Linked DNA regions of Oryzias latipes. The protein of the gene in region 1 purifies or fractionates together with the protein of each later gene. This does not show direct contact. Links are inferred from orthologs where the notes say so. Each region holds a gene or a part of one and is shown in the gene's direction. Other genes may lie near its edges. The genes, in order: ptpn3, vangl2, vangl1 and kctd3.

Region 1 (8,137 bases):
CGTAGCTCACCTAAGCTCCGTCTACTGCTGCCTCGCATGTCGTTTCCTGTAGCGCTCAGAGTCGCATAGTCATGAGTGATGGAGCTGCGTCTTATTCATTGTTTCCAGTCACATCTAACTCAACACTGTGAGCCTGAAGGTCACTCTCACCTCCTGCAGCTTGCATATGCTCGTCACATCTTCAGTCTGCATCAGCATGTCATAATACAGCACCCACTCTCAGCAGAAGGGCCATCTCTGAATTACTTTCAGGGTGCAGCATTTTTTACACACTGGATTCTCCATCACTCTTTTTGTTAGAAAGATTTGTCATCCTGAAAGGCTGAAAAAAATGCTGTGTTCAAATTCACCAAATATGATGGAGTTTCCTGCTGAAAGATGAGTTTACTTTAGTTCTTTAGTACTTGTGATGGGAATATGACTCCAGTTACAGGGAGTGGGAGGTTTAATGCGGAGCGGATGCAGACGAGCGGCTGCATATCCTTCAGACTCATTTAATAAAACCTTGACTAATTAAACTACAATGTTTTTTTGTTGTTGTTGAAGTAATCAAATCTTATCTGGAATAAATGACATTTTACAAACTGTTATTTATAGCCTTTAATCCCATTCCCCTTCAAAAGCAACAACAGACTAAGTCATATCCAGGAGAGTTGACAGGATATTTTTGGCTGAGCGTAATGCCATTTGTTGTTTCCATTTTTCAGAAGCAGGATGAAGGCGAGGTTCTGTTGAGCCTGGTGTTTGACCACCTGGGCCTGCAGGAGAGGCAGCTCTTCAGTCTGCAGATCAGAGAATCCAGCACAGCCATAGCCTCTTTCACAGCCAACACACACTCTCCTGTGAGCTTACCCTTCATGTGCCGCTCATTTGGACACAGATTGTAATGTCTTGCGCTAGCTGATTGCAGTTAAGTTGATGATAACCACAGGGCGTTCTTACATAAATGTTTTTTAGCTGCAGTGAGCCTCAATGTACTATGAATCTTTTTTTTTTTTGCTTTCAGAGATGGTTGGAGCCTGAGAAACCCTTGAAGAAGCAAATCAAAGGTAGGGTACTTGTTGAGGCACAGGTGCAGTGGGTTTTTCTAAACCTACTGCAGTGCACAGATGGAAAAAATACCCGTAAAGCAGCGTCAGTTGTGATGTGGCAGCGGTTGTGATTTTTTTTTTTTTTTTTTAACGAAATGACATTTCCGCACAGGCCTCGTGTCCCCCTTTTATCTGAACTTCAGAGTACGATTCTTCATCTCCGATCCCAACTCTCTGCAGCATGACCAGACGAGGTTAGAACCCAACACAAGAGCGCATCTCATCCCCCCTCTCTCATCCCCCCTCAATGATGACTTACATTTATTACTTTAAAATCTTTCATTGAAATTTTTTCAAGTTTTAAATTATTTTTTTGCAATCCTGACTTTATTTAGCTAAAAACGAAGGAATGCAGACATTTACTGTGCCCCTAATGGCAGTGGCTATATCCGAATTCCCACCCTAACACCTAACTACTAATATAGTGCGGGACTATCTAGTGCTCTGAATTTTAAAAGCATTTCGGCAATGCTCACTACTTTTTTTTTTTTTTAAACGGTGGATATGACGTCATCGATTTCACAAAGTTCAAATCTAATTGATATGAATCCACTGTCTTCTGAAGATAAAAACATTGGTTTATTTAAAAAATACATTTAAATACATTTTTTTGGCAGAAATTGTTCAGACGCAATGCATTGTGGTCTATATTCGCCAATCTAGTGAGCATCGATGGGCACTGGTTTTTCGCAGAGACTTCTGGGAAATTTCTAGGGCACTTGTAGGTTCGGACAGCACTACAAAATGGCGAATGCACTATATGGTGCACTATTGGTAGAGTAGGGAAGGAATTCGGACACAAGAGTCACTCTGCTGTTTTGGGCGGTTGTTACGTCTTGTTTGGTTGTATTTTTTTTCTTGTTTTTCCAGAAAATTGTAGTTTATTAAAAAATTCCTGGGTCCTTTGCACATGCAGCCTTTTAGAGGCGTGGTCATGTATTTAAGAATGCCTTAGGGTTGTGAGAGCCACAAAAAGACATTCAGCTTGTTGCACTCATCTTTTTTTTTAACATAAAATATATATAAGGTTATTGATTTATTTTGAGGATTTGCACAAGCCTCAAACCCAAGAAGTGTTTTAAATGAAATTCTGTGGTCACACTTATCATCTACTCTTTTGCTATTCCCAGTATTGGATGTTTTGACCCGCAAGGCCTTTATTTACATATGTCACTGAATTTCCTGTGTGCAAACACTGTCTGTTTATCAAGGCAGAAAAGCGGTGAATGGCTGCACTCAATTTTACACCTGATACTTTGCAGAATAAATGAAAACCTGGTCCTGAGTAGATGAAAAAAAATACAGTTAGAAAACCAATTTGCTTTTGTGTTCAGCAGTTGTCTAAATGCTGTAGTGTACAGTTATTCACAGATCTGCTAACCAGCACAACCAGACAGCTGATGTGGCTATAACAATGCAGGATACAGAAAGCATGCGTGGGTGTGTTAAGTTCCTCTTGTCTCGCTCCCGCAGGCACCTGTACTTCCTTCAGATTAGAAGCGACATCAGAGAAGGACGGTTTGTACAAAAAAAAAAAAAACTTCAAACCTCACCACCTGTCCCTCTTGTACACAGTGTTTGTGTATAGTGTGCGTAATTATTGTTATTGCAGGTTGCAGTGTCCGCTGAATGCTGCAGTGGTGCTGGCGTCCTATGCTGTGCAGTGTAAGTCCCTAATCTCTTCCTAGAGGGAAAAAAAAAGATGAATGACTTAATAACAACTGTGTGAGTAATTATTCATTGAAGGGGGCCCTCTATCATCTCAATTAACATCCCTCTCATAAAGATGTCAGCATGAGTGGATGGCTGCTGCTTGTTTAAATGATCGGTGTCATCTTTCTGTCTCTTGTAGCGGAAATTGGGGATCACTGTCCGTCCCGGGCCCCCGGATACCTCTCCAAATGCCACTTTATGCCCGAACAGAATGAAGATTTCCTTTCCAAAGTGGAAGATCTCCATCCCCAGCATAAGTATTAGAGGCAGTTCTTTGCTCATAACGATTGAATAACAGGTTCTTGTTGTTGTACGTAATTGTTTGTATTTGTGTTCTTAGAGGGCTTAAGCAGAGCGATGCTGAGCTGTGTTTTCTCAACACCGCCCGGACGCTGGAGTTGTATGGAGTGGAGCTTCACGCTGCTATGGTAGTGTGACTTGATTAAGCTTTAATAGGAAAATCACATGTTTGTTTTTTTTAAACCACATGTTTTCATTACCCGTATGTTTAAGAAGAATATTTGTTTTTTTGTGTCAAAGTGTAAGTTGTTGAGCTTGTAATGATTTAGGCCATTTTAAATGTCCCCCTCAACATTACACTGCAAAAAAGGGAACCTAAAATAAGAAAAGAACACTAAAATTAAGAAGAAATTCAGTAGAAGTACTAAAATGACCATGCAGTTACACACAAGCGTTAAAAAGAGAAAAATAAGCTAAAAGCTAACTGTTAAAATGAATTAAAATGCAATGTTATAGAGAAAAATAATAGTTATTATTGTTGTTTTTTTTATAGTTTTAAGCAAACTGTTTGTATTTTTTGAGTTTTTAACTAAGTGTTGTTCATTTTAATATCAAAAGCTATTGCAATAAGTGGAAATAACTCATATTAGAACAAAATGTGAACAAATAAGAATACAATCTGAGCACAAGTTGACCCATTTTAATAAATTCTCTATAATAAATCTAAAACTGGCTCATATTCCTAGAACATAAATCTGTGTTTGTTTCCAAAATAATGGATGTCACTCTAACATATCAACATTTCCTGAACCTAAAAACGACATTCTTGAAATAAAAGCAAAAATCACAGTGGAATTTGTTTATTTTGTCGTAAAAGTTTTTTATTGTCAGGAATATAGAGTAAAAGGATTTTAATTAATCTCAACGATTATTTCCTTGTTTCTCATTCCTGGCTCTTAATGAGACAAAAAAATCTTGAGTGTGTTGTTTAGAAAAAAGCTTATAAAGGTGTAGAATAAAGAGAAGTTAAATTAACGTAAAACCTGGTTGAATATCTTGAATGTCTAAAAACAAGGTTTTAAATCTCTGCAAGTATCAAATAGTTTGCATTCTTTCAAACACAAACCATGGTTGTAAAAAATCAAATGTAAAATGGGATTTTAACTGAAATTTCTGTTTAGTTTTTACTATTACAATATTAAACTGCATTAATGAACATTATTTAAACATTTTTTTTTTGGTCAATCCTGTCTTCTTCCAGGACACTAACAATACACCTTTAATGGTGGGTTTGACCTCAAGTGGGGTCGCAATATTCTGCAATATGGTTTGTTCCAGTTTCTTCCCCTGGTGAGTAATAATGAGTTGTATTATTCAACTCTTAACCATTAACTGCTGATGAGCTGTGCTACTTCCATGCAGGGGGAAAATTATCAAGATTTCTTTTAAGAGGAAACGCTTTTTTCTACATTTAAAACAGAAACACGTGAGTCATTTTCTGCCTTCTTCATAGATGTTTAATCACAGTTGACTTTGGAATCACATTATTTGCCTTTTCAAAAATGTTGATTGTAAACTGTAATTATTGCATGTTACAGGGGGAGACCCAAGACTGTGAAGTGCCTCTTCTTCTTCTCTGCCCTAAAACTTGCAAGAACTTGTGGCGTTCATGTGTGGACCACCACTCCTTTTTTTCCTCCAACCGCAACGCCAAGAGCCCTAAACAGGGCAACAGCACAGTTCAGACCTACACAAAGCTGATAACACAACACTTGGGGTTCAGCAACAGCAAAGCTGAGACGTGAGCTTCCAAATTATTTCATACATTCAATCTTTTCATCATAAATGCTGCTGATTTCTAACACCCCCCCCCCCCTTTTTTTTTTTGCAGGGGCCCTGTTTACCAGCGTGTGGTTGGCGGCATGGTGTGGAATCCGGTTCTGCAGAGGTCGATTTCATTAGAACATCTTGAAACCAAGAGCCTGCCATCCAGATCACCTCCATCCACCCCCAACTGGTACAACATTCATTAGCCACTGTCATGTTGTAACGGCTTAATCCATCTCTTCTTTTTTTATTGAGACAAAAATTGAGTTTTTATTTTTCACGACACCTGATTGCCGCTGTGTTTGTTGGGGCAGGCGGAGTCCCAGAGTTCGCCATGAGATCCGAAAGCCTCGCCCGTCCTCTGCGGAGCTCACTGCGGATTTGAAAAACATGTCTTTGGGGGAGGATGTGTTCTACACTTACAGAGCCTCTGTGAGCAGCAGCAAAGGCAGCGAAGGAGACGTCTCACCTAACCGGTTAGTTTTGCTCACAAATGAACGTCTAGTTTTTACTGAACTCAAATGAAAGAAAACAAAACTTAATCAGATTAGGAAAAAAAATATTTTATTGTTTTTTTATCTTTAGCCTTTCTGGATCGTACAGCCAAGGACCAGATGATGCTTTGTCCCATGCTGATGATAGTATAGGAGAGGAGGACACCCCACCCTACTATAATAAGGTGCTCCACCTCACCTTAAATCCTAAACATATTCATACGGGGTTTGATGCATGTCTGAAATAAAAATTTCCTCATGCAGGATGCTTTGGGTGATGGAGACCTCATGCTAATATGTATCACTCCAGACCATGAGGGCAAGTTTGGCTTCAACGTTAAAGTATGTCCCTCATTTCATTCATCTATTATACTTTTCTGTTGTTGTTTTAGGATTTCGTCTCATGATTATGTTTTTTTTACCCATCAGGGTGGGGTGGATCAGAAGATGCCCCTGTCTGTTTCCCATATCAAACCAGACTCCCCGGTAAGTGTTGCATATTTTCACATTTATATGTTTGGTCTTTTTGTTCAGTTAAAGTGAGATCACGCATAAAATCTTATAAACTAATATCAGACTTAGTTGTTTTCTTTGATTTTACAAATTGTATTAATAAATGAAACTACCAAAAGGCAAAGAAATACGAATCATTGCATAAAGAGCAACTGATGGTGTTTGTTGAAGCACAGCTCACTTACCAAACCCAGAAGCGTATCAAAACCATTTTCAAACTTTAATATCAATAAATTCTGAAGAAAATCAATCAATTGAATTTAATAATCAATACTTGCATCCCATGTATCAGTCAGATATCCATCAGATGAAAGGAAACAACGTTTCCCAGTATCTTCATTGCAGGGATTGATGCAGTGTTAAATTTCTGTCTGTGGTAAAAGTGAATGCAGCTACATTAAGTTAAGAAAAACGGTTAGTCTTCAGCAAATAGATAACCAACTGTCTGTTAGTATATTGTTTTATCTTGAAAAACAAGAGTCTAAACGACACAGGACCACATTATATTTATGCACATTGATCGTGGCGTTACCCAGAACACACTTGTGAGGAACTCTGAAAAAGAATGACTGAAAGTTATCAGGCTGGAAGAGATTATAAAGTGTTGAAATTCCCAAGTCCGAGTAAGACAGGCTGGGTAAAAATGCAGAAAATCCAAATCCAATGTTAATCTGTTGATAAGTAGTAATGGCTCTTTCCATTGGCTGGTAAGAAAAGCAAAGAGAACTCTAAAGGAAAGTTATGTTGACTGGCTACCAGCTGGATGGGTGGGTGGGTTAATGTTTGTTTAAATGTGAAGCTTTTTGGTTAAGCCTGGTTAAGAGCAGTTTGCTAGAAAAACAAGAGTTTTTAAAGGTACACGGTTGTGTAAAAAAAGAGGAACAAAAGCAAGCAGGACCTGGCTAAAATATTCTAAATCAAGTTCATGTAATGTTTCATAGGTACGCAGTTTGTTTCAAGCTTTTTTGTTTCTTTTGTTTCGTCTTGTGTGATTTTATAAAATGGCCACTTTAGTCTGTAAAAAAAACAAAGTTAAATTATTGTTACTTCATAAATTATTTAATGAGTTGTACATTTCTTACTTCTTGTAATTAGGTCACCTCTCTTTTTTTTTAAATTTACACTTGACATCATTGATTTTCTTTATTTATTGGTCCACAACATGAAGGTAAAATATCAGTTTATCTGAACTTTGGGCTGTGGATGTCCCATAAATATAAACTTTTCTTCTTGTAGGCAGGTCGATCTGAGCCCAAACTCATGGAGGGAGACCTCATCGTCCTCATTAACGGTCGAGACATTTCTGAGCACACGCACGACCAAGTGGTCATGTTTATACGAGCCAGCAGGGAATCGCACTCCCGACAGTTGGCCTTGCTTATCAAACGTAAAGGTGTGTAGCCGTCAAAAAGTGCTGATTCAAAAATGCACTTTTGAGAGATTTATAAATATTAATAGCAACCTTGAAACTCTCTTTTATATCCAGGTTCTGGCCGAGTGGCGCCCTCACTGCAGCTACCTCCCACCCTCACACTCACCATCCCTTCACATGACAGCAAGCCGCAGTCCCCCGGCCAGTCAGAGCGGGTCAAAACGCTGGAGGAATCGATGAGACAGCTGGAGAGAGGCATACAGTCTGGCACGCTGTGCTTTCATTTTGAGGTACATAGAGTCCAAGTGGGAGCTAAAGTCGGTCAAATCTATTACACTGAGCCAGAACACCACAAAAAAACAAAATCAAACGTGTTTGTCTTTTTATTAGCAGCCTTATATTTGTCATGGTCTGTTGGGTTTTGAAATCACAGCAAGCCTTTCAAATGCTTTTTGGACAGATGTTGACCCTAATCTCCAGTTGGATGTAGTTCAGAAAACAAAGATTCCCTGACTCTGCTGGATTTTTTAGTTTCTCTTTATGTCTGTGTGCGTCTGTTTACATGTTTGTAATCCCTAGAATTTATACAGGAGGAAGCCCGGAATGTCACAAGACTGTTCACGACTCCCTGAAAACCAGGAGAAGAATCGGTACAGGGATGTTTTGCCGTGTGAGTGTTTTTTTTTGTTTGTTTTTTATTTGGCCGTGTGTCCCGTGACGTTTTGTCCTTTCGCTGCTCAGTGGCGCCACCTTAATCTTTCCCTAAATGCGTGATACCTCTATTTAGATCATGCAGTTGTGGGTCCTTATGACTTTGAATTGGCTGAGCTTAAGTTGACAGGTCTGTTCTGCTCCTCACCTGCTGCCACCCTGCTCTCCTTTCCAGA
Region 2 (8,137 bases), on another chromosome or scaffold:
CCCAAGTCCATTCTGTCCAAAAAGATTACGGGCTTCAAGGTTTACTCTCTAGACGGTAAATGCCTCTCCACCCAGAACTGTTTTCTGCCGCTCAGCTTTATCTGAATCCACCTGTGATGGTTTAGATGTAACCCGTGGTGTCAGAATCCAGGCCTCGGAAGGTCAACATGTTTTTCAAGCAACCTGCCATAGAAGCTGCTCATTAGCTAAACACATCTATTTCATGTACAGTATTTTCACGACTGTAAGGCGCACTTAAAAGTCTTACATTTTCTCCAAAATGTGTGGAGCGCCTATGGTGCGGTGCGCCTAATGTGTTGTGTGACTTTGGTTAAAAGGATGTAGGAGAGAACAGCATGAAAACGGTAAGGAGGGAAGATAAGACGTGAAAGAAAAATAGAACAAAAGTGCAGGTGTGTCCACTTTGCAGAAAAACAACGTTCTGGTAACCCTGAAAGAGCTGCCTGCAATGAGACACAATTATGAAGCACAGTTTGAACTGCAAGCTATCACACTTTTACTAAGACTGGGAGGCAGCGCCGGGCCATTATTTATGAATGGATTGTAGATGCTAACGTGTGTTGTGGGATGAGTGTGCTAAAACCGGTGTGTCTGAGCGATACATACAGGCGCGGTCAGTCGTTGTTTTGGAGTTGAGAAAAGTAATAAAGAAAGCTCCTCTAGAAGAACTGAGACTGGTTCTTTGGCTTAACCCGCTCTGGAGGCTCTGAGGGCCTGAACGAGGGGGGGTGAACCCCGGAGGAAGATCAGCCTTTGGCCCCGGAGAGAAGATCTTCCCTGCGTCTTCCAACCACGGGTCGCAAAAGCCAGCATCATTCCTGAGGAGCCGCACGGCGACAAGACAGACTCTGACAATGACTAAAGGGAATCTGGCATGTTTGATAGAAATTCAGCCCAGCTGTTCATTTCAGATACAGACGATGAGGACTTTGATGGATTTTTGGATGCTGATTGATGACTGAAAAAAGAAATCACAAGCAACTCCGTTTTGCTTCCACTGCTTTTTTAAAACGCACCCCAGCCTGCATGTTTTACTGTATGTTTTATGTGCCGGTGCCCTAAAACCTGGTGCGCCTTTTAAATTTGTTAAATACAGAAAATTACTTATTTTGCGCACTATAATCCAGTGGGCGTTGAGAAAAAACGTTAAGCAGAAGAAGATAAGGCAGGATTTCTGGAAAACCAGCAGGAGGGCGGCCCTCTAGGCCTGGAGTTTGAAACCCCTGGTGTAAACCGAATGCTATGCTTCATTTCTCTTTCATCTTCCCTCTGCATTTGATGTCTTGCAGAAAACACAACCAACAACTCTACAGGCCAATCGCGAGCCATGATCGCAGCTGCTGCCAGGAGGAGAGACAACTCCCACAACGAGTACTACTACGAGGAGGCCGAGATGGAGCGCAGGATACGGAAACGCAAAGCCAGGTCAGACCAACACACGCCGATCAGTCTGCATTCAGACTAAGAAATGTCTGATCAGATGGAGGGAAAACTCAAATCCTCTGTAAGAAGCACGTTTTCTAGAGATCTACTGATCTTCCAGTCCTTCATTTAACCTCCGTCAAGACACGAGCATAAAGGTGTGACCTGCTGCAGTCTGCAACATGGCTTATAACCTTTTCCAGCACATTAATTCAAGCTATTTGACTTCTCCTTATATAACTTAAGGTGGTCCTGTTTCTACATGCCCTCAGTGTTTTGGCTGCTGGGAAATAAATCAGTTTGTCATTCTGTCAGTGAAACGTCGGCGTTTGCAGCAACATGATTGGTGCTCTGTTAAATGCAGGAAAGCCCACAGTAAATGGCAACCCGCCACGACACTCCAGCACCACAAATATGCTTCATAGCAAGTTTCTGGCTGTGTTTAAAGCCACCTGAGGGGTTTAAAAAAAAAAAAAAAAAGGTAAATAGCAGCGTTGCTGTCTGCTCTACACACTCAAACAGCAGAAAAGGGCTCGTTCAATGTTAAATCTTGAGTTTTGAAATGTCTTGGTGTTGGTTTCCAATCTTAAAATGATTCCAAGATATTTTTACAATAATGAATTTAGCTTTTATTTAAATGTTTTCTGGTTATTAAAGCTTTTTGTGTATGCGCTTTCAGTGTGTTCAAAAAACCTATTGACCCTGCCTTGCCTTAACCCTTGGGCTATCTTGTGGGGTCCAGATGACCCCACTCCCAATGTTGGCGTGCCTTGGAGGCACTTTAACATGGGGTCATCTAGACCCTGTAACGTTTGGAGTTGGGTCATCTAGACCCACTATACAGTGCTCTGAACCTTTCTTCTTCAATGATTTGTGAGCTTCACTGGTGTCCATGGATTACAACAAATCTTTCCACCTTTATCCACCTTTGTCATGGTGGGGAGAACACGTCAATGTAAGGGTGGGGTCGTCTGGACCCCATAGGACAACAAAGGGTTAAAAAGGTAAAAAAAAAAAAGTGTTCATTGTGTCACAAAGCATTTAAACTCGTTTTCAAGCTTAATGTTTATGTATAGGTAGTGCGTGCAATGCGCTTGTAAATCCCTTGATTTTGTCCCCACCAGGGACAATAGCTCCTGAGATCACTTGAGCCCACAAACTCCTCCTACTCCACATTAAGGTGGCGGTTCACGAAGGGCTGGCGAAGGAAGCTTCGTCCATATGGTTGCTTGGCGCTCCATGATGCCACGGTCGCATATAGAACTGCCACCGCGTGATGGCAGAATCTTCAAGATTTCATGCCACCATCTGATTTTTGAAAATCCTTGGCGTGGTCATGAATGAAGATGGCGGCGGTCTGTCAGGCAGGGAAGCCACAGTGCGGTGGCAGAGCAATCGCTGTACAGCAGCAGCCCTTATTGGACAATATGTGAATGTCTCCGGACGGCGGCGTTCCATATGACGAAACCCAGCAAGGGCAAAGAAAATGAAGGTCCAAGCACAGCAGGAGTCTTCATCAGATGAAGAGCATCAAGGCCGTCTCTCTATTTGTGTGCTGGACCAGTTGGGCCAGTTGAGACGGCTCATGCAGGTAGAAGAAAGTGGATAGATTGATTTTGTTAAAAGGGGGCAAACAAAGCAGAGAGCCGCTTAGCCCAGCAGGTGGAAGAATCAGCCAGACACAAGCTGTGTCAGTTCAAACAGAGCAAAATCTTCAACAGCAATGGGAAACAGGAAAGGATTTCTCATAAACGACCATCAACTGGGATTAACAAAGACACAACAAAACCAGCAAGCAAAGGAAAGAAAAGAATGGAAGAGAAAAAAACTCTGATCTTCTTCATGAAATGGCTCAAATGAAGAAAGGTCATGAGGAAAGGAGCGCCACCTTTGACCGATCCCAGAAGCAGATGGAAGAACTGAAAGACCCTTTCAGGGAAAAGGTCACCATAAGAAACCATTTTGAAGGTGTCTTGAAGGAAACAACACCAGCAGATGGAAATGATCAAAAAAAGGAGTATCGGATGAAAAACATTTGATCTAGGCCTTAAAAGGTCCCAACTGGAAACAAAACATCAAGAGACAAAAAAGAGAAGGCATCAGAAGGAGCAGTGGGAAACAGAACTTTATGAAACTAAAATGTGAAAGGATTTCCCTTTAGTTCCTGTTTACTTGTTTGGTTGAACACATATTTCATTTACGCTTGATTATCTTGCCAGAAATGAAAAGAATCTGGAAAACTTGACCTGAACTGTTTAGTACCAGCTATTTAATTCTGAGTTACACTGATGGAAGTTTTGGCTAAAGATGTTCTGGATCCATTTGAGGTCAGTGAATCGGATTGATCAAACTGAACCCATATCGACTGTGAATCGGATCATTAAAATGAATGGTTACACCCCTACTATACACTGGTTGGTGTGTAGTGACCTGCAGTCTAGAGCGACTATTCCGTGAACCAGGAGTTGGTGTTTGGCTCCTCTGGAGTCTCTACCAATGCCCTTCTGGTCGTTCCTCATGTGTTGGTCGGTTTATTGGCCGGTAGTTGGATGGGACTGCACCCTTTGAGGGATCCTTCTGGATCAGGATCGTTAGCCCTTCCGTTAACCATTTGTGGTGAGTCCCATCTCCAAGCAGCTGGTTGATTTGTGCTGCCAGGCGCTCATGGAGGGCGGTGAGTTTCTTTAGCCAGTGTGTCATGTCAGCGCCCGGGGAGACTCTTTTTTTTTTTGGACGTCTGCCCCTGTGATGGTCACTGGATCCTGTTCAGGGGGGTTGCTATAAGTGCTGTCATGCGATCCATTTTTGTGTGCGACTAATCAATCATGACAGACTTCCCACTTTACTTTTACACCACCAAGAGGGATTTTGGTGTTAACCTCAAACAATAAAAAAGGTCCGGAGTGCTCTAATTAAAAACATGAAAAAACCGCAGGAACACTTCACTACGTGCCACGGGGCGGCCGTGGTGCAGCGGCAGGGGAAGGTGCGATTCCCACCTTCCCCACCCATGTGTTGAAGTGTCCTTGAGCAAGACACTGAACCCCACTTTGGTTCTGGTGGGAGGTTGGTGTCCATGTTTGTCAGAAGAGTGTGTCACGGGGGAATGGGACTGTGACGGGAAAGTCCTTCCACAGTTTATCACAGCGGTAGAAAAGACAGGTGATTTTATAGTTTCCTTTAACGTCTTGAAGCGGAAAAGAAAGAGGGAAGCTGGGGAGGAAATGACAACATGAGGACGGGACACTGGAGGAGCTGAACTAGTTAGACTTTGTTTTCATTAAAACAAACTTTTGCTTCATCATCTGGAAGGAAGAGGCCAGCTTTGCCTCTGAAAGGATGCTTTGTTTATTTTCTCGCAATGATCACTTTCCTCAGAGAGGAGATGGCGAGAGTGGAGCCCGCTGGAGCTGTTACCATGACAACGTGACGCAGCGTGTTTCTAATGGTCCATTTTTGGTGAAAAATGATTCAACCTTGAAAATATGACAGGACTGAAGTTCTAATAATGTGTTTAATATTTATTTTTTTTGTAAATGGCATGGTCTGGCAGTTTCCAGGGCTTCAGGGACGGGCATCTGGCTCCATCTCTTGGCCCCTCTGTCATGTCACTTCTCTTCGAGCCGTCTTGAAAATCGTGAAATCATTATGACAACAATGAACTTGCGGATACAAGCTGCCGTTCTCACTGACTGACCATCATGGGCGGGAATGTGGCTGTGCTGCAGGTTGGTGGTGGCGGTGGAAGAGGCCTTCACGCACATCAAGCGTCTTCACAAGGACGAGGCCACCTCGTCCCCTAAACACCCCAGAGAGGAGATGGACCCCCGGGAGGCGGCCCAAGCCATCTTTGCCCCCATGGCGCGAGCCATGCAGAAATACCTGAGGACCACACGGCAGCAGGCCTTCCACAGCATGGAGAGCATCATCTCCCACCTGCAGTTCTGCATCACGCATAACATGACGCCCAAGGCAGGTTCCCCGTCGTCTGCTAATTAAATACTCATCTGTTTTATTTATAGAGTGCAGTAAAGTTTATTGATGTGATATTTAGAAGAAGTTTGATATTTCAGAAGTTTGAGGGAGACGCAAACGCTTAACAACAATATATTGTGGGGGAAAACGACTAGAAGTGTAGTTCAGAAAAAGACAGTCCTGTATTCTTAAAAACACAAATCACTGCCGAGTATTAGTCACCAAAAAAATGCATAATAAAGAAGAAACAATCCTAAATAAGTGGCGCTCCTGAACAAATCCGCTTTATATTGTGCTCACACCAAATGTGATTCACGCGTCAAATTAGAATCTGCTGCCTCTTTTTCAACACATATCATATTTGATGCCTAATGCGTGTCCAAATATGTTCCTACACTAGACACTCCCATGTGTGGGAGGAGCTACCATCAAATATTTGGCCTCATCACTACAGAGAAGCATTGCTTGTAGATCTCATTTGCATGGACGACACTGATGATGTTGACAGATCAGGTTTATATATTTTGAAGAGCTCCACAGAAACATCAGTAATCACGTCTCCATGTCTGGGTTCATGAAGTCATTCAGAAGTTTTTTTTCTGCAGGAGCTGCGTCTGAATGACGGCGCTTTCAGCAGTACTTCCGTCTCTCTGGGACCCAGTTTGTCCTGCATTTGTCCAAAGAGGGAAGAAATAAAAAGAAAAAAAATAATGTCTTGACACGAATAAGAAAAATATCAAACGTTTTGTCCAAATTCCTTCCCTACTCACTACATAGTGTGTTCGCCATTTTCTAGTGCTGTCCCAATCTACTATTCCAAAATCCAGTGCCCTAGAAATACCCTAGAAGTCTCTGTGAAAAACCAGTGTGCATCGATGCTCACCAGACTGCCGAATATAGACCACAATGCATTGCGTTGGAACAACTTTTGTGAAAAACTTGTTTAAATTTTTTTAATAAAATATAATCGTTTTAATCATCAAAACACAGTGGATTCATAAATAGTCGTTAAATGTTCGTATTTAATAGGTTTTTACTTTATGAAATGAATGACGTAATATTCGCCCTTAAAAAAAAAGATTACTGAGCATGGTGTCCGGATTGCTTTTAAAATCCATGTTCACTACATAGTCCCCCACTATCTATTTAGTATTTAGGAAGTAGGTTGGGAAGTCAGACAGCCCATGTTTTAGTTGGACGGCACTTCTTCTGCATTGCTACGGTGCCCTCTAGTGGTTGTTAGCGGGAAAATAAAAAAATATATGAGCCTTTATTTGTTTTTATTTTTTAAATCGTATATAATTCGCAGCTCTGGCCAAACTATGCAAAAAAAAAAACTCAACTTATACTCCAAAAAAACCCATAAACCCATGACTCAAAAGGCATGTTTCTATCCCGACCAGGTTAAACTGCTGTTCTCTTATTTTTTATGTTTTTAGGTTGTAATGGTGCGATTTGCATTCGAGTTTTCAGACAGTTTTTTATGTTAAGTATGATATTATGTAAAGAACGTTTTCACAGAATCAAAACCTAAAGAACAATGGGAAAAAGTAAAAAGTAACCAGTCTAACTGCCTGAAGAGAATTTATTCTCTCCTTTTGCTTTGGAAACTGTTATCAGAGGTTTATATTTCAGTTGAAATGACTGGACATTTTTCAAATGTACAGATTTTCTATTTCTAGTTTATTTATTACAGTTCAGAACATGTTATGAGGTAACAAATGAGAGACAAGCATGTTTCTTTTAGGTTAAATGGGTTGGAAAATCTCCTATAAACTACATGAAAGACGATAAAGGCACATTTTCTATAAATGACCTCCAGCTTCGCTCCTTTCAGGCTTTCCTGGAGCGTTACCTGACCCCCGGCCCCACCATGCAATACCAGCAGCAAAACGGCGGAGGGCGCCAGTGGACTTTGGTGAGCGAGGAGCCGGTGACCTCGGCCCTGCGTCAGGGTCTGGTCTTCTCTCTGCGCCGCCTGGACTTCTCCCTGGTCGTCACGGTGACGCCCCTCCCTTTCCTGCGGCTCGGGGAGGAGTTCATCGACCCCAAGAGCCACAAATTCGTCATGAGGCTGCAGTCGGAGACTTCGGTCTGAACTGCGTTCGGCTGATGCTCCCCTTGTCTTTTGCTGTGTTCTGCCGGAATAAGAAAACATTGAAGAAGAGGAGCGCTTAGAATGGCCGCCGCTGTCAAACTGTGATCAGGAGAGCGAGCGGAGGCCTGTTCTCCTCACACTGCTAAAGCCGTTGTGTCCTGAAGGGGACCTTTCTTCCTCCTTCCCTCATCATCCGCTGAACGGCTGACTGGAGACATAAAGTATGAGGGGGGTTATAACAGCAGTCACCCCCCCTCTCTGGTGTCTTACACGCGCCGACCGACTGCAGCTCTGATGCCTGCTGGTCCTCCACTGTGGCAAGGGCTTGCTTTTGTACCAGAGGGACCGCTTTATATTTGCTTTGAAGAATGTAGCAATATGTCTTTTTTGATGACTGTTAATAAGAATGGATGTACATTCCTAACCTGTTGCTGTCCGTCACTCTGTTCACTTCTTATGCAGCTTCTGGTCACACAGACATGATCAGCAACACTTTGGGTTTAGCTGCAGCAAATGTTTGACCCTGGAGATGCTGCTTTCCTCTGGTCACCCAGCAAAAAGCGGAAGTCTCCCCTCACTAGGGGGGGTCCTTCCTAACGTTGCTCTTACGTTTTCACCAGA
Region 3 (8,137 bases), on another chromosome or scaffold:
ATCACAGTATGTGTTCCATTGTAGCGTTCAATTAATCCTTCGTTGTTTTGGATGTTTCTTTTGAGACATCAGACACACAGCAAGATCCACTGCTTGTTAGGAAAAGTGCAGGAATTTTTCAAAAAGTCTATTTGATCTAAAAAGTGTTTAGTCTACATAAATTTAGCAATAAAGTTATCAGGTTGGCAGCATAAAAACAAAATAACTGCAGGTTTTTAAATGGAAAAAGGCATATTTGATTAGGTTAACAGAAAACCTGAGAAGCTAACACCTGTCAGGTCTGAATGATGCATAATTCAAAAATAATATTTGGCATGAGAGTTTGGACGCTTATTTAACACACCAAGTAGGTGTTAATGATAAAGAAACAAGCTATAAAGACCAATTTGGAACTTTTTAAAAATCAGCAGCAGCTACTGCCTTAGCTTTTGAAGCGGAAACAGGTGGCAAGTTTTATCAGACCCTCTTTGCAAAATGTTGTTTTATCCTTCACAAACTCAGCAGTGGAGCTCATTCTTTCAGGTGTACTTCCTCCATGCAGGAACGCTTGCAAATCTGGCCAAATAACGGCAGATGTAAGACAAGAGCAGACCTGACACGTGCTAGGTCCTCTTGTTGTATCCATGTCGGAACAGTGGTAACTTCCTCTCTGTACTTTCTCAGCCTCCAGATCATTAGTTCTGATTAATCATCTGTCACGGTTGACATTGCTCTCCTCTCCTTAATTAGTGCTCTTGTTATTGAGCCGTTCTGAAGCGCTCCTTCACTTCCTCCTTTTGTTCTCCTGGCCGTTTCACTTCTTCTGCTGTGATGAATGGAACAGAGTTGCTTCGAGGCTGTCGGCTCTGCTCCAGGGCAGCCCGCAGGGATCGGTTAATCCCGAGAGAAAATATGGGTCATTTACGTCTATTTTTAGTAATGCTGATGGAGGGAAAGACCAGGTCCTGTAAGAAGGATCAGATTTTTTTATTTTTACACCGAATTTTGGTAAAAAAAATACAAGCACACAGAGCACAAATCCTTTTTTTATGCTTCGCTGATACAATCTTAAATCAGAGTCATCGTTTGAACTGTTTCAGAAGCTTTCCCAGTTTTTTTTTATTATAACTATGCCATTTTTAGCCAAAAACTTAAAAAACCTCTCGTTTTTGTTTGGGACATAATTGCCGCAGGGCGGCAGGAGTTTATCAGAAATTTGCTTCTGAGTTGTGGGCGGGACTGTTGATGCGGAGCAACCCTGGGCCCCTTCCTTCCCTGTTGAGAGCTCTCTGTCTACATGCTCTCCCCGCTAGCTTACAGCCCCTCACACCCCCAACCTAACATTACCAGTGCAACAAAAAGGGCGAGCAATATTGGAGCCATCCAGCCGTTTTGAGCCCGGATAAACAATGACGTAGACGGATCTAGTCGTCTGAAAGTATATGGATCAGCATAATGGAGCTGAGCGGGGAGCAAATACAATCTTTTTCATCCGCTCCTGATTCACAAGGATTTGAATTCAGCAATACTCTTTTTTTTATTTTTATTTTTTTTTTCTTGGAGTGGGTCTGTAAGGATTGGGGCTGAAAGTGTAGCCAAGAAGCTTCCAGAGGCGTCACCCCCACAACAACCCTGAACAAAATGGAATTAGTGTCAGAAACAGACAAGCTGAGTCAATCTGTTAGCAGACGCGGGCTGCTGTGAGTCCTGTGGGTGCTGTACAGGTTCTCTGCGGTCAGAGAGGCACTCTGTCTTGCACATAATGGCTATTGATTCTTTTTTTGTTGTTGCTTTGTTTTTCACACTCGGTCACATGCAGCATGCTTGTTCACCAGGATTAAGCCTTAAGAATCTGACAGGACTGAGACAGCAGAGCCGGGCGGGAAGCTCATTATTTAGTTGCTTTTCTAGCTTCCCGCCCGTTCCTCTCTGTTGACCAAACGGCATGTGGCTCCACCTTTTTTACAAATCACTTAGCTTTGCTAATGCAAAAAGAAAATCAGGTTGCACTGATTTTAGTGTTCTGTAGGGAATATACGGCTCATGCAAATAAGATAAAAAAAAGCCTGTTGCATCTGTGAAGAGGCTGAGGGCTCTCCAGTCCTGCTCATTAACAGCAGAGAGGCTCCCACTCCACTCAGACTACTTCTAAATGCATGTGCACAAGCAGCTAATTAATCTCCTTTAATCTGCTTAATAAAAACAGACCACTTTAGTCCCAGTCAGATTAAACAAACAAAATTCATTTCAGTCTTTTTTTTTTCTCCTTTGCACCCATCAATTAAAAAAAACGGTGGGACTTCACCGCCGTCAGCTCGGCGAGTTTCTAGTCGCCCGAAGGAATGCGGTAACTCGTTCACCCGCTGACACTTTGAACCCCAGCCACGCATTCCTCAGTGTAGTTTGGGAAATGCGAGCCAGGTCAGTGGAGATGTTTGGACGCGACAGCGTCACAACTATTTACAGCCTCGTGTCAAAGGCCAGGAGAACTCGAGACGGCTTTCAGGGCTGGTCCTCATCAAAGGGACGCGGTTGTTGCCGCGCCCGCCGCTTAACTGCTAAGGCATCCTCACCTTTGAGGGTAATGGTAGTCATGTATTTTAATACTTTCAGACAACGAATAATTCAGAAACAAAGAAGTCTGCGTTTGAATTTCGAACTAATAAACACTCTTCTGGATACAATTGTACCTTTTTTGGGGGGGTAAAACCTAACTTGATTGTGCTCCATGTGTCCTCCCATTGTTCTGCTTCAGCTCTGTGGTTTAAACCTGGAGGCTACCGAGAGATTTTCTGTTCCAGTGCATCCTCCTCCTCCTCCTCCGCCTCCGCCTCCCAAACCCCCTGTCTGTACTGTTCATAATGCATCCTCTTGATAAACCCCTGCTGCCAGTGTGCGGTTCTTCTCACTGATGTGATTCCTAAATACGGCTTCATTTCAGCTGGATAGCTCTTGGCTGATAGAAGAAAAGATCTTTGATTGCATTTTCTTGCAGCTGATGACTGTTGGTCATGTGGCCTTTTATGGCCGGCTTTGTTATCACATTACAAGCTTGTTATGACTGTCATGTAAAGAGTCTTTATCTGTGTTTTTGTAACGGTGCCGCTCCGTCACTGCTGACATTCATTATCGACGGATGCAGGAACGCTCTCTCTGACCTTTTCCTCTCCTCGCCATTTTCCGTGGGGGGAAAGTAAACTCTGCGATTTGCTTTTTGTGCGTCTTTAATATTCTGGCTGCTGAAGCATTGTTAAAGGAGGAACCCATTGTTGCAACTTATTGTGGTTTCTGCACTACCCTATGTCATTTGATAGTTCTTAAGGCCCGTTCACACCGGTACGAATTTCGCCGGCGATTTTCGCCCACGTTTAACGCCTCGTGACTAAACAAAGGGCACCAATGAGAGTGTGCACACCGACGCGAAAAAACGCCACGCGTCAAAGCGTCAAAAAAAACGCCTCGGGTTCGTTTTTTTTTTTTGACGCCTCGCGTCGAAATCTATTCGACCAATGAGAATGGCGCTTTTGCACACGTGTCTGGAGCTTCTGAAGTTACAGTAAAACACAACTTGGGGGCGCTCAAACACAAAACTGCCTTGCTGAACACGCATACCAGCGAAGAAGATAGACGCCAAGTAGCGTCTACACAGCCGCGAAGAAATAATGACGGACATTCTAAAATATCCCCGAACCAAGCACCAGTTGGAGCTACTGGTGCTTGAAATATTCATGTTTTCTTTGTATTATTCGGACAAGCGCGTAAATACTTGCTCTCTTCTTCTGAGTGAAAAGCGACTTTAAGAAGCGTAAAGTTGCGCAGCGCCACCTTGTGTACAGGAGTATTTCTGTTTACATTAAGCGCCATCTAATGTCAGGGAATGAAATTGCATGTTCACTCGGCTCATCGACAGCGAAAATTGCCTGGGTGTGAACACAAAAAAACGTGGCGAAAAAACGCTGGCGAATAACGCCTGGCGAATATTCGTCCCGGTGTGTACGGGCCTTGAGTCATGTGACGTGTGCGATGATCATGAAGGCAAAACAGCAATCCAAGATGGCGGCTGACACCCAAAAGCCAGTCAGTTTTCAGATATTTTCTTCACTTAACCAAAAATATGCAAACCATGAAAATATACTTTTGAGTTGTTGACCTATTTTCAACACCCCTACAACTCTTAAAAATGGACAAGCGATGAACTTTAATGAACATGTGATGGAGAGTTGATCACCTTTCTTGTCTTGACAACCATAATTCTTTAAGTGTTCAGGATGGGTCAACCCAACTAAGGTAATTCCAGAGGGTTTTGAAGGGGACAAAAGCAGCTTTACACTGATAAGCAACCCTTTACAGTAGTGAAGTGTTTAGGCAATCAACGTCAGTCGGTGGTCGCCAAGAAAAGCAGCCGGATGCCATTATTGGTGCAAAGCCAATATGAACAGCCACTATTCTCCACGTAGGAATCAGCTGACTCCCATTGATCGCGTTAAGCGGGTTACTGTTTGGTATTTAGGTGTCTCCAGCGACATCTCCTGTGTTACAAGGTTAAAAAGGCCTGTTTGCTCCATCCTGTGTGGTTCATCTTACCTACTGTGGTGGTTAACCTTGCCTGAATGTGGTACTCAAAGCTGGGACTTCCAACTTATTGTTATTCATGGTAACTGGATCTCTTTGGTCTGCGGCTTCAGTAGTGATTGGTTAAAAGAAATCGCACACTGGAGCTCCAGAAAGTATATAATATTGTTGTGCGTTTCTCGATGTCAAAGCCAGTTATTCTACACAAAGGTTGCAAGCAAGTTGCTTAAGTTAAATGCATGCCTATCACGCTTTCCGTTTTTGTAAACAAAATTCACTTTACTTCAAGAAAAGACACATTGATAACTTATCAGAATTAAAAGGTCCTTTATTTTTGCATCATATGTCCTCCTTGTATTTCCAGGATGATAACTGGGGTGAGACCACCACGGCCATCACAGGTACGTCCGAGCACAGCCTGTCCCAGGAGGACATCGTCCGCATCACCAAGGACCTGGAAGACAGCGTGGGGCTCAACTGTCGTCGCTACCTCACCCGGATTTTGGCCGTGATCCTGGGCGTCCTGGTGCTCCTCACACCGCTGGCCTTCCTGGTGCTGCCCCACCTCCTCTGGCCAGACAAGCTGCAGAATTGCGGGACGGCCTGCGAGGGCCTCTACATCTCCATAGCCTTCAAGCTCCTCATCCTCCTGCTGGCCGTCTGGGGACTCTTCTTCAGGCCGCCGCGAGCAAGCCTCCCACGGGTCTTTGCGTTTCGGGCCCTCCTCTCTGTTCTGGTGCTGCTCTTTGTCATCTCCTATTGGCTCTTCTACGCAGTCCGGATACTTGAAGCGCAGGTGTGTGGAGACAATAACCACAATCTTGACTGAATAACCCAAAAAAAGCTAATTAGGCGGGATAGCACTCATTATATGCACACAGATTTATTTCTCCTGCCTTCGGGAGCCTCGCTAAATCACAAAACACAACCCAAACACCTAATTTAAACTCTGGTGGCTTCAGCATGCTTGAAGAAAACACAAACACGAGGTCCAAAGGCTTTTTCTCTGAAACGTTTCTAAATATTTATGTTCCTAGGGTATCCAGCATTTCAGGGTCTATTTTCTTTTCTTCTGAAAACGTTGATTTTGTGCTTTGCTGCATGCGTCATATTGTCCCATTTGCAGGATGCAGACTACCAGGGCATCGTTCAGTACGCCGTCTCGCTTGTGGACGCCCTGCTCTTCATCCACTACCTGGCCATCGTGCTGCTGGAGCTCCGCCAGCTTCAGCCATGCTTCTCCGTATGCGTCACGCGCTCCACAGACGGCGAGACGAGGCACTACAACCTGGGACAGCTCAGGTGAGAATCCCCGGCGACGAGACCCTTTCAGTTCTGACTCCTTGCGTGTGCTTCCCAGAGTGCTTTGTGGTTGGGGTCAGTTGTAAATTCTCTAGGATAAACGGGCTCCTCAGGTTATTCCAGGAGGAGTTTTTGAACCTCTAATGCCACTCCAGTGCTCTAGAAGTTTGCCGTCATGAAAAGAAAAGACGTGAGGAAGTATTTTCTGATGCTAATCTTCCTCAGCAGACGTGACTTTTGTGCATAGAGAGGTGCAGGTGAAGAAGATCAGGAGATAAAGGAGAACTCGTAGAGATTAGTGTGTGAAGTGAAGTGAGAGGAAAAGATGGGACGTGTGCCATGGTAGGTTTTTAGAAATGTGGAAGTGAAGAGAAAGTAACAGTTTCTTCATCGTAAAAGAAAGGAAGCTATTATAGATAAAATATGGTTCATCTGGTTTTCGGGTTATTTAGGGCCCGTGGAGGGTTGTATTAAGGAGCGTAGGTTTCCCTGTGGCTCGTACGTCCAGCTCAAAGGACATAATGTACGACTGTCGTACGGTTGGTAATAGGCCTGCACAATAAATAGCAAATTTATCGTCATGGCGATATCAACTGTGCAATACGCATATCGCAAAAAGGCGAAAATTGCAATAGATGGTTACCTTTAATGTGCTAAAACAATCTTATGGCAGCTCGAAGCATTTAAGTAATCAAATAAATCCCTTTATGCAGTTGACCAATCAGATGGACCCCTTCATGTTGTTGACCAATCAGATAGAAACCTTTTATGTTAAATGTTCACCTCCTATGTAGACGAGGGGCATTTGGAGTGTAATTTAAGTTATGTCGACTCTTGTTTAAATCAAACTGTTGGAGTGAAATGGGAATGATGTTTTTGGCTGTTTTCTTATTTGTTTATCTATCGCAAGTCGTATCATCATCGTAATATTGATCATTAATATCGCACATTGCAAGTTTTCCTCATATTGTGCAGCCCTAGTTGATAAGGCTAATGTAATTTGTATGCGTTTTTGGCGTACAGGTAATATGACACGCAACACTTGTCATTAGTAAGGTGCGAGGAGGGCTCCATACTGACCACACACGAATGTGTACACATGATACGCCTGTAGGATGCCAATGGGATGCTTACACTAACTACGCTCTGAATGTATAATTTCCTCCAAAGAGCCCCTAGCAAAAATGTGCAAATGTCTCAAAAATCCTGCGTCTCACCTTCTACATCCTCGTGTGTTGGAAAAGGGATCTCACAGCATGCCCATAGAAAAAATGTGCATGAACATTTTCACTCTACGGGCTCACTGATCGGGTCACGACCCTGATATCTTGCCACCTGGATGCCCAGCTCTTGTGTTGGACTTATTTTACTGTTACAATAGGGGGTTATGATTTTTTATTTTGTTGTTGGACCTGACAGAAAGGAAGAAGAGAGAGGGATGTTCTAGAAGGGGTGTGTGCCCATTTCTTTGCCCACAGACGGCTGGTATCCACCCGTAAGGGTAGTTATGAATAAAGGTAAAGAGAACCGACAACATACCAAAGAAGTCGCCCATAAAATACCAAATAAAAAGCTTTAAACTATTAGGTTTAAAACTGTAGAGCTGGATAGCTCCAATATTGCCCACCATTTTTGACGCACCAGTAGGGTTAGGTTGGGGGTGTGGGAGCTAGCGAGAAAGTTGACGGATGACGAGAAGTGGGAGCGGGCTTACTCCACCCACAACTCAGAGGTGAATTTCTAATCAACTACTGCCAAATCCTAAAAAGCGCCCCAGGTTTTTAAGGTTTTGGCTGAAAAACGTCAAATTCCTCATGAAAAGACCACTGAGAATGCTTTGAAAATAGATTTCATTTTCATTGACTGAGCATATTAACCACGGGACATGCCCACTTATGGTCAAAGTCAACACGTGTATATATATAATAAAGATCAAAAGACTATCGAAGTGGTTCTTTAAATCTTTTAAGCATCCCACCAGCGAAATCTAATCTGCCCAATCCTGGTCCTCAAAAACCAGCACTGCTAAATGCTTCCAGCCACCTCTGCTGTACCTGGGATCATGTGATCCAGCCAATCAACGGCAAGTAGGCAAACATAGCTGAAATGAATGACAAAACCACAAAAAAAAAGCTATTAATGAAAAAAAAGATTAAAATATTCAAAGAAATAAAGAGATTTTATTTTTTTCAATTTCTGCACTAAAAAAAAAGGGCAGAAAAACAAGGATGTTCAAGGATGAATTGGAGAAGGAGAGAAACTGAAAGAGGAAACACCCAGGGGA
Region 4 (8,137 bases), on another chromosome or scaffold:
TCAACATTAGAGAATGTAATAATGCACATGTTTGTGTCAGACTAGACATGCAGTCGCTTATATGGTTGAATCTGTAGAATCTAAGTGTTTTCTCCGTCAGGGTTCATTTAGAAAGGATTAGATGATGAATGATGGTCAAGCTAAAAACAGAATGGCCACATATCTACTGTAAAAGAGTGGAGTTTGTTTGTTTCTTGTTTGTGTGCAGCTCCTGTTATTGACCCTAGGAAGGTGTTGATTATAGCAGGACACCACAACTGGATAGTGGCAGCTTATGCTCACTTTGTCATCTGTTACAGGTACTGTGTGAATCTTATTAATGCAGCCTCTATGCCGTGAGTTTAGTATTTTAAGATCTTCTCCACTGATCAGTTTAGGAAACCTTGCAGTTTGTTTTGTATAAGGGTTAATTTAGATAATTTTTTTCCATGAATATAGGATTAAAGAATCAACAGGATGGCAGCAAGTGTTTTCTTCGCCTTACCTTGATTGGACCATTGAACGTATTGCACTAAATGCCAAAGTGGTGGGCGGGCCGCATGGAGACAAGGATAAGATGGTGGCTGCAGCTTCTGACAGCAGAATCATTCTCTGGAGCATCCAAGATGGCGGCAGTGGGAATGAGATAGGTGGGTTAACAAAGTTTTTAAAAACTGAACTACTGAGAAACTCAGAATTTACAGATAAACCTACTGATCCCACATGGTCTGCGAGATAATTAGGACAATTCAAGTTTTGTTGATTCTTTTTTCAGCACACCTGTTTATTCTGCATCCTTTTAATGTAGTTCACTTTTCCTCAGCTTCTTTCAGAATAAAAAAAGATGATGACTGTTCTTGTTTACGTTTTCGGTGTCAGGTATATTCAGTCTCGGCGTTCCGGTTGATGACCTTTTCTTCATCGGGAACCAGCTAGTGGCTACGAGCCACACAGGAAAGGTTGGGGTCTGGAACGCCGTCACTCAGCACTGGCAGGTAGGTTTGGTATTTTGTTATAGTAAGTCAGCTGAATTTAAATCTTTTTTAACAAAACTAAAAATAGTGATTACAACTTTTTCTTATTTGTTTCTAATGACTAATAACAATACAGGAAAAAAAAATTGGAACAGATGTAGAAACATTATGGAATAAACTTGAAAATAAAGAAGAAATTCTCTGTAGTTTCACAAAAATGACTGAAAAAAGTCTGAACTGATGATGACTACCTTTATTGCGCTCCAGGTTCAGGATGTGGTTCCCATCACCAGCTGTGACACTGCAGGATCTTTTCTGCTTCTGGGCTGCAATAATGGCTCTATCTATTACATAGGTAAACACAAACAAGGATGTTAGTGTGGTCAGTTGTAAAGAACATACCAATACTTTAATTTTTTTTCCTGTTAGAAGATTTAAAAAAAACAAAAAGGGCATTTATATTTAATTTGAATTTCAACAAATACTGTAAAAATCCAAGATAGCTTTACCTTTTCAATTCCCACAGCAATAAAAAGCTGTGATTGTTGTTTCCATTTTTGAGGGAAACACAAAAATCAAATATAAAATGAGACCGCAGAAGGGTCAACATGTTATTTTCATATTTTTTCCAGACATGCAAAAGTTCCCTCTGAGGATGAAGGACAATGACCTTTTAGTGACGGAGCTCTATCACGACCCTTCCAATGATGCCATCACAGCACTCTCCGTGTACCTCACTCCTAAAACCAGTAAGTACCAGAGATAATTATAAGTCCTTGTGCTGTTCAACAATTCAACCTCCATCACAAATCAGTTACTCACTGTGAGGATATTGTGTTTTTTTTCCCCCTCTGTCTTCTGTCTCTCTGGAGGTGTGAGTGGGAACTGGATAGAAATAGCTTATGGGACGAGCAGTGGGGCAGTGAGAGTGATTGTGCAACACCCGGAGACAGTAGGATCAGGTCCTCAGCTCTTTCAGACGTTCACTGTTCACAGGAGCCCAGTGACTAAAATCATGCTGTCTGAAAAACATCTGGTGTCAGGTAAGGAGGAATGGGACTACCCAACCACTCACTGTCCAATCTATTCCCGCAAAAATGACAAACATATTTTCTTGGTTTTACATTTTCACATCTGTCTTTGTACAGACTCCTGCCAAGTCACTAAAGTAGTTGCAGCACCCCTATTGGTAGAAGAGTGTTACTGCAGAAACAAATATTACGCAACTTGGATTATCTATTAACAAATAACTTTTATTTATAAATTCAAAATGATCAACTCCTAATGTTTTCACACGAATTCATATTAACTTTAATGTTTTAGATTATATGTGTTATACAGAAAAGCAGTGGCAGGTATACCATTAGGTATGCAGTATTTAAATAGCTGCTCTTTTCCTCTTACTATCTCAAAGGGTGTGCCCAGCCACCCTTTAGAGAAAACTTATTTCAGCTGCTTGTATACAGGATGTTATTCTCATGACCCATACCCCTTACTAAAGGTGAGGGTAGGAACACAGATTGAACAGTAAATCAAGAGCTTTGTCTTGTGACTTGGCTTCTTCACTAATATGGACGTATCTATCCACCTGAATCTTGCGCTTTAACTTCCTCTCACCTATGAGCAAGACCCCAAGATATCTGAACTCCTCCACTTTTGTCAGGAGAACTTCACCGGCCCAAAGAGGGCAAACCAGCTACGGGAAGGGGATTCCTTGTAGTCTTTTTGGGATCGACATGGGATTGCCTTCCTTAATTCCCAACAAGGTGCTCTGGGTTTTAGGTGGCAGTAGATTTGGGTGGTGTGCTTTGACCATTGGGACATGGAAAAACTAATCGATCAATTTAAAATGAGTAGAATTAAATTTTTTATGGGATAAAACAACTGCAAAAAAAGTTTTGATTTTGTGAAAAAAAAATCAGGACCACGGACAGCACTATTGTTCAGGAGTTTTAAATAGCTGTCTTTTTGTTATCTGGCCTTCCAGAAGTGATAACATGGACAGGTTTGGGGGTTTATTTTATTGAACATGTCTTTCTCTTTGGCAACCAGTAGTCACATAAATGTAAAATACGTTTGTATTTTGTGTTTCAGATCCTCTTGTTTTACATTTATCTGTGTCACTGGTTATTAATCAAATCAATCTTTATTTATGAAGCACTTTTCATATAGAACATATCATAAAGTTCTTTACACTAGAGCAAACAAATAATATAAAAACAAGCACAACAATATAAAAATAAAGCCCCCATCTCCACCCCTGATCCACACAGAACCCCAAACCCCATTCATGCCCCCCGCTCCCTTAAATGCTGGAGATAAACATTAGGAAAGAGGGTGAGCACGGAAAACGTTTGTTGATATAAATGCTAACAGTTGGAAGCTCCCTCTCTGTAGATAGCAGCACAGCTAGCCGGGTGCAGCATTCGCAGTTGGGGACCCAGCAACACTACAGCAAGGTGGCGAAACGGGTCCCCATCTAGAGCCGCAGCAGCCAACTCAGAGGGAGAGGACCCAAATGAGGAAGCTCTGGAAATAAAAATGAAAATAAAAAGTAATAAAGAGCAATAATAAGAAATGTTTTCTTGTCACATGTAACAGGCTACATCTGACAGATGTAATTATCCTAGTGTGTAAAGCAGGGGTCGGGAACCTTTTTTGCCGAGAGAGCCATAAATGCCACATATTTTTAAATGTCATTTCCAAAGAGCCATACAATAATGTAGCGTCCCTTTCCCACACTGAGGCACGGAGACTTAACCTCTTTTAAGGTTCTTTATTCTGGTTACTATAGACCTCAACAAACGCCGCACAATTAATTCAGCAACTCCTGAATCTCTCCCGCCGAGACGAGAGCGCTTCTCCCAACTTTATATTCCCCCCTCCCGCTCCCGCCCTCCCATTTCCCTTATTCGGCCCATAGCTGAACCCCATTGGTCCAAACACCCTAACAACAGGCTGAGCGACAGAACTGAGAGCCAATCAGATCTCTGCTTGATGCGTTCATTGAACTCCAGAACTTTTAACGCGGCCCAACAGCCAAGTTAAACTCAGTCCGCGACAATTTGTTTAAAACTAAATATACAAATGAATGTGTGCTTTGATGTAATTTCAACATTTTTAAAGTACAATAAGTCTGTGGATTCTTTTGAATAACATCGTTATGCTGTTGCTGATAAATGATGAGTATTTCTCGTGGTAGTTTTGCTGATGGTCTAGTCTGGTTGATACGTGGTGAGTTTCTGCTTCATGCAGGTGTTGAGACTTTAAACGTGATCGTAGGTCTGACTGTTCTGTAGATGTGAGACAGACTGATCACATGCAGACCTGGAGCCAAACACACACTCACACGCTGCAGTGAGTGACGGGCAGTGGGTTTTACGTTTTTACAATCCCTGCGCGGTTCACCTGCTGTCCCCACAACCCCCTCCGTACACCCACCCTCTGCTTTCTTCCTCACACATCCCGTCCCCACAACTGCGCGCTCTTTCTCAGAGACGGGAGCGCGCAGTTTTAGGCACGGCAATTCACAGGTTTCCAGTTTGTACAAACTCTGTGAAATAATAGATAATAGTAAACTGATAATGCTGGCGCTGATTTTTCTCTCCAAGCACCGATACTACTCCGCGCCTCTGACATCGCATCGCGCCCGAGAAGGACTGGTCTAATGAAAAAAAAAAGTATAATTAAAGATTTGTCTGCGAGCCACATGTGACCATCAAAAGAGCCATATATGGCTCGCGAGCCATAGGTTCCCGACCCCTGGTGTAAAGCATTGTGGAGACTGAATGCAAGTTTTTTTAGTGGTTTGGATGTCCTTACAAAATTGAAACACGCTTTTCTGTTTCAGTCATTTTGTGCAAATGTGCTTCAGTAAACTCGACAGTTTTATGTCACAAAACATTGACTAAAGTTATGTTATGATTTGTTTTTTAAAAACAGTTGTTATCAGCTTTGATGCCTCTTGAACTGGATGCCTCAAACAGTCATGTCTTTATTTTGTACAGTACATTACAGCTGGAGCATATCAAATATAAAATCAGGTTTATTCTTAAATTTGACTGACTACATCCTTGTCCTCATCATTAACTCAAGGGAGGATTGTGTTTGTGTTTATCAGTGTGTGCAGATAATAACCATGTCCGGACTTGGACGGTGACCCGGTTCCGAGGGATGATTTCAACTCAACCAGGCTCCACCCCTCTGGCATCATTTAAAATACTGTCACTGGAGGAAACTGAAAGTCATGGCAGCTACTGCTCTGGAAATGATATAGGTTAGAGGAAACAGCAAAAACACACGCTCAAAACAAAGAACAAAGTAACTGACTGCTCTTAGCCCTTAATTAAAAAAAGTTTTATGAAATAGCATAAAAACATTTATAATATTTCATAGATTGAGGAAAACTACAGATAAACCAGTATTTTTTAACAAAGGGGATATATTCCCTTCAGGTCCATTTGGAGAGAGGGATGACCAACAGGTTTTCATACAGAAGGTCATACCCATCACTAACAAACTGTTTGTGAGGCTCTCTTCTACTGGGAAAAGGTAATATTTATATTCTCCTGATAGAACATGCTTGGTTTCCATGCTTCACATTTGTCTTTGTGCTGTTAGGATCTGTGAGGTGCAGTCAGTGGATGGCACTACCATCACCTGCTTCATGGTAAGAGAGTGTGAGGGTTCCAGTCGAATGGGATCTCGACCGCGCCGCTATCTGTTCACGGGACAAGGCAATGGCAGCATCCAAATGTGGGACCTGACCACAGCGATGGACACGGCCAACAAAGGAGAGGAGAGAAAAAAAGACGGTGAGGAAGGAGTGACGGCAGCTGCTAGCAATGGCGTGTATATTTTTAGTCTTCACATAAATTAATTCCGGCATCAGTATTCCCTTGAAAAGGTTTGTGTTTTAAGGCTTCCTTATGTTGCAGATGTTGGAGGACCAACTGAGGAGGAGCTGCTGCAGCTGCTGGACCAGTGTGACCTGAGTACTTCTCGCTGTGCAACACCAAACATTAGCCCCGCCCCATCGGTCATGCACCATGCACAGCTCAGAGAGTCCTGCTCCAGGTTAGAAATACACTGCAAAAACCGGGCCGTGCACTCATCAAAATGCCATCTAACTCTTCCTGTCTGACTTGTTGAAAACCTTTTTCTTAGCAGATGTCTTGAGGCTCTTCAACACACAGATCCCACATATCACTTTAAAATAACTGGCTGCAGACTGTGTTCAAAAGCCTATTAAATTAACTACTAGTCACTACAACTACTACCACAGATCTGCTAAATCAAACACACCTGGTAGAGTAAAAATGCATGCTGGATAATAAACGCCCAGATCAGTTTCGACAATAAATAAAAACTAAATCAGGACATTATGTAATTATTGGAACTGGGCTGTATTTCCCTGTGGTGTGACCCACGCATTTATATTTGGCAGTGATGCCTCAAGAGTTTTTGCACTCCTCACCTGCTTGTGATCTTTTCCCCTCTGAGTTCATTTTTTTGCCGTATTAATGCTCCAGTCGAACATCTCTGCGGTGTCAACCAATAGGTAAACACTAACAGCCCTTGGCTAATTTCACTCCTGGGCTTTTGCTTGTCTGTCTCTTCTCGTCATGCACAGTCTGCAGTTACAGGCACCGGAGCCCATTCCTGAAAACCAGGCCACTTATGGAGCTGTGCGGCCCTACAGAGAGAGCCCCCTGCTGGCTCGAGCTCGCCGGACTGAGTCTTTCCACAGCTACAGGTGGAGGAGGGCTTTTTTAACTAGCTTACATACCTCAGCTTGAATTTTAAAATTTAAGTCTTTAAACCCTTCAAGGCTGACTTTATTTCCAATTATATTTAAAAATATTCTTCAGTGTTTTGCTAAATAAGTGGAGTCCTGAATTTAATAGTGATTTGAGAATTAGGGACATATGGTGTAAAGGGGTTAAGATTCCATGTAGAGGATTTTAATAACATTAGGTGATAAATAAAAATATAAATGCATTTTTTCCATATCCATCTCATATAAGTGAATTAATTTGGTTTTGTTAAGCACATCATAGCAATCTGATCATGTTTTTACTTTGTGAAACTTTTATTGGAAAAATCCAAGAAAAAAGTTACTTACTTGAGACCATAAGAAGAGCATGTTTGCAGTTGAGTTACTAACACTGTTGTATGTTTCCACAGAGACTTCCAGAACTTCAGCTTGAGTCGGGGAGGTCTGGACCAGACAGGCCAGACGTCCTGCCAAGGCCCCCACCAGTCTGCCGATGCACGCCGTTCGTTTTGTGACTTCGCACCTCAGGACATTGAGAGGAGAGCCTCAGTTATGGAGCTGTGGGCTTCCCGCACCAACAGTGCAAGCTCCGGTTCCACTGTCGGGGGGGTTTCGTTGACAAAAGCAGAAGGTAGTCAGGAATCACCACGGCAACCTCCAGACAGCCCAGTTCCAGGAGGGGATGTCAGGCAAAAAGTACACCCTCAGCTAGAGGAAGGAGATGGAGGAGATTGGATGAAGGCTGAGGGAAGTGTGAAGAAGAAGGGAGTGTTGGAAGGAGGCTTTCTGGGGAGAAAGCGGGCTCCCCCTGTTCCTCACTTTTCCCTCCCATCTGGATCTGAAGGTGGGGGCAGTGACTCATCTACAAATGCCTCGCCCTCCCCAACCAAACTAGCTGCCTCCACCTCCCCGCGACAGAAGAAACTGGCAGCTGAAGCCTCCAGTCAAGACAGCAGCTTGTAATCCCAGACAATTGCTGAATTTGTTGTGGGTGAAGACAAGAACTTTTCAAATTTGCAAAGTAAAAGAGAAAAAAAGTTCAGGATCTTTGTTTTGGGAGCCCACAATCCTGAGCACTACTATGTTTACTCATTCCTGCACTAAGGGACAACATCTCAACACTAACATCACATCATCTCTAGCCGAGGAGGGACATTCAGTGAAACATCTGTTGGGTCTAAAAACATCTGCAAATCGGCTTTTAGGGTTAAGACCATCATAGTCTTTGGGCGTTGATGTTTTTGCATTTTTAGGTTTTACGCTTTGTCCTGAAGAGGCGATGAAAGTGTTTGTGTGTTTTGTGTCGCTGCGGCTCACGCATGATGTGACACAGGAAAGCAGAGCGTCTGTCTGATCAGGTACTCAAAGGTTTATTATCCAAACACATCAGAGGTCACTAATTAGATTG

The links.
Region 2: the proteins of ptpn3 (region 1) and vangl2 purify together in Homo sapiens (affinity purification with mass spectrometry; 3 studies listed by BioGRID and IntAct, with this or other methods). This does not show direct contact. The link is inferred for Oryzias latipes from reciprocal best matches to the Homo sapiens genes PTPN3 and VANGL2.
Region 3: the proteins of ptpn3 (region 1) and vangl1 purify together in Homo sapiens (affinity purification with mass spectrometry; 4 studies listed by BioGRID and IntAct, with this or other methods). This does not show direct contact. The link is inferred for Oryzias latipes from reciprocal best matches to the Homo sapiens genes PTPN3 and VANGL1.
Region 4: the proteins of ptpn3 (region 1) and kctd3 purify together in Homo sapiens (affinity purification with mass spectrometry; 4 studies listed by BioGRID and IntAct, with this or other methods). This does not show direct contact. The link is inferred for Oryzias latipes from reciprocal best matches to the Homo sapiens genes PTPN3 and KCTD3.

Annotation. Positions count from the first base shown.
Region 1 is NC_019874.2:17,813,256-17,821,392, reverse strand, and holds part of ptpn3 (tyrosine-protein phosphatase non-receptor type 3), read left to right. Parts: intron 1-707; coding exon 708-842; exon of another isoform or gene 843-909; intron 910-1,006; coding exon 1,007-1,049; intron 1,050-1,203; coding exon 1,204-1,285; intron 1,286-2,564; coding exon 2,565-2,609; intron 2,610-2,703; coding exon 2,704-2,756; intron 2,757-2,943; coding exon 2,944-3,061; intron 3,062-3,144; coding exon 3,145-3,232; intron 3,233-4,305; coding exon 4,306-4,394; intron 4,395-4,466; coding exon 4,467-4,530; intron 4,531-4,642; coding exon 4,643-4,845; intron 4,846-4,935; coding exon 4,936-5,061; intron 5,062-5,185; coding exon 5,186-5,347; intron 5,348-5,456; coding exon 5,457-5,550; intron 5,551-5,629; coding exon 5,630-5,707; intron 5,708-5,794; coding exon 5,795-5,851; intron 5,852-7,114; coding exon 7,115-7,271; intron 7,272-7,364; coding exon 7,365-7,540; intron 7,541-7,829; coding exon 7,830-7,920; intron 7,921-8,136; coding exon 8,137-8,137.
Region 2 is NC_019875.2:3,182,334-3,190,470, reverse strand, and holds part of vangl2 (vang-like protein 2), read left to right. Parts: coding exon 1-55; intron 56-1,310; coding exon 1,311-1,446; intron 1,447-5,171; coding exon 5,172-5,415; intron 5,416-7,255; coding exon 7,256-7,516; 3' UTR 7,517-8,137. UniProt on the Homo sapiens protein: Involved in the control of early morphogenesis and patterning of both axial midline structures and the development of neural plate. Plays a role in the regulation of planar cell polarity, particularly in the orientation of stereociliary bundles in the cochlea.
Region 3 is NC_019860.2:16,729,560-16,737,696, reverse strand, and holds part of vangl1 (vang-like protein 1), read left to right. Parts: intron 1-4,915; coding exon 4,916-5,347; intron 5,348-5,677; coding exon 5,678-5,853; intron 5,854-8,137.
Region 4 is NC_019861.2:25,004,930-25,013,066, forward strand, and holds part of kctd3 (BTB/POZ domain-containing protein KCTD3), read left to right. Parts: intron 1-208; coding exon 209-299; intron 300-438; coding exon 439-629; intron 630-858; coding exon 859-974; intron 975-1,220; coding exon 1,221-1,308; intron 1,309-1,585; coding exon 1,586-1,702; intron 1,703-1,825; coding exon 1,826-1,996; intron 1,997-5,073; coding exon 5,074-5,229; intron 5,230-5,407; coding exon 5,408-5,504; intron 5,505-5,573; coding exon 5,574-5,767; intron 5,768-5,890; coding exon 5,891-6,029; intron 6,030-6,585; coding exon 6,586-6,708; intron 6,709-7,139; coding exon 7,140-7,692; 3' UTR 7,693-8,137. UniProt on the Homo sapiens protein: Accessory subunit of potassium/sodium hyperpolarization-activated cyclic nucleotide-gated channel 3 (HCN3) up-regulating its cell-surface expression and current density without affecting its voltage dependence and kinetics.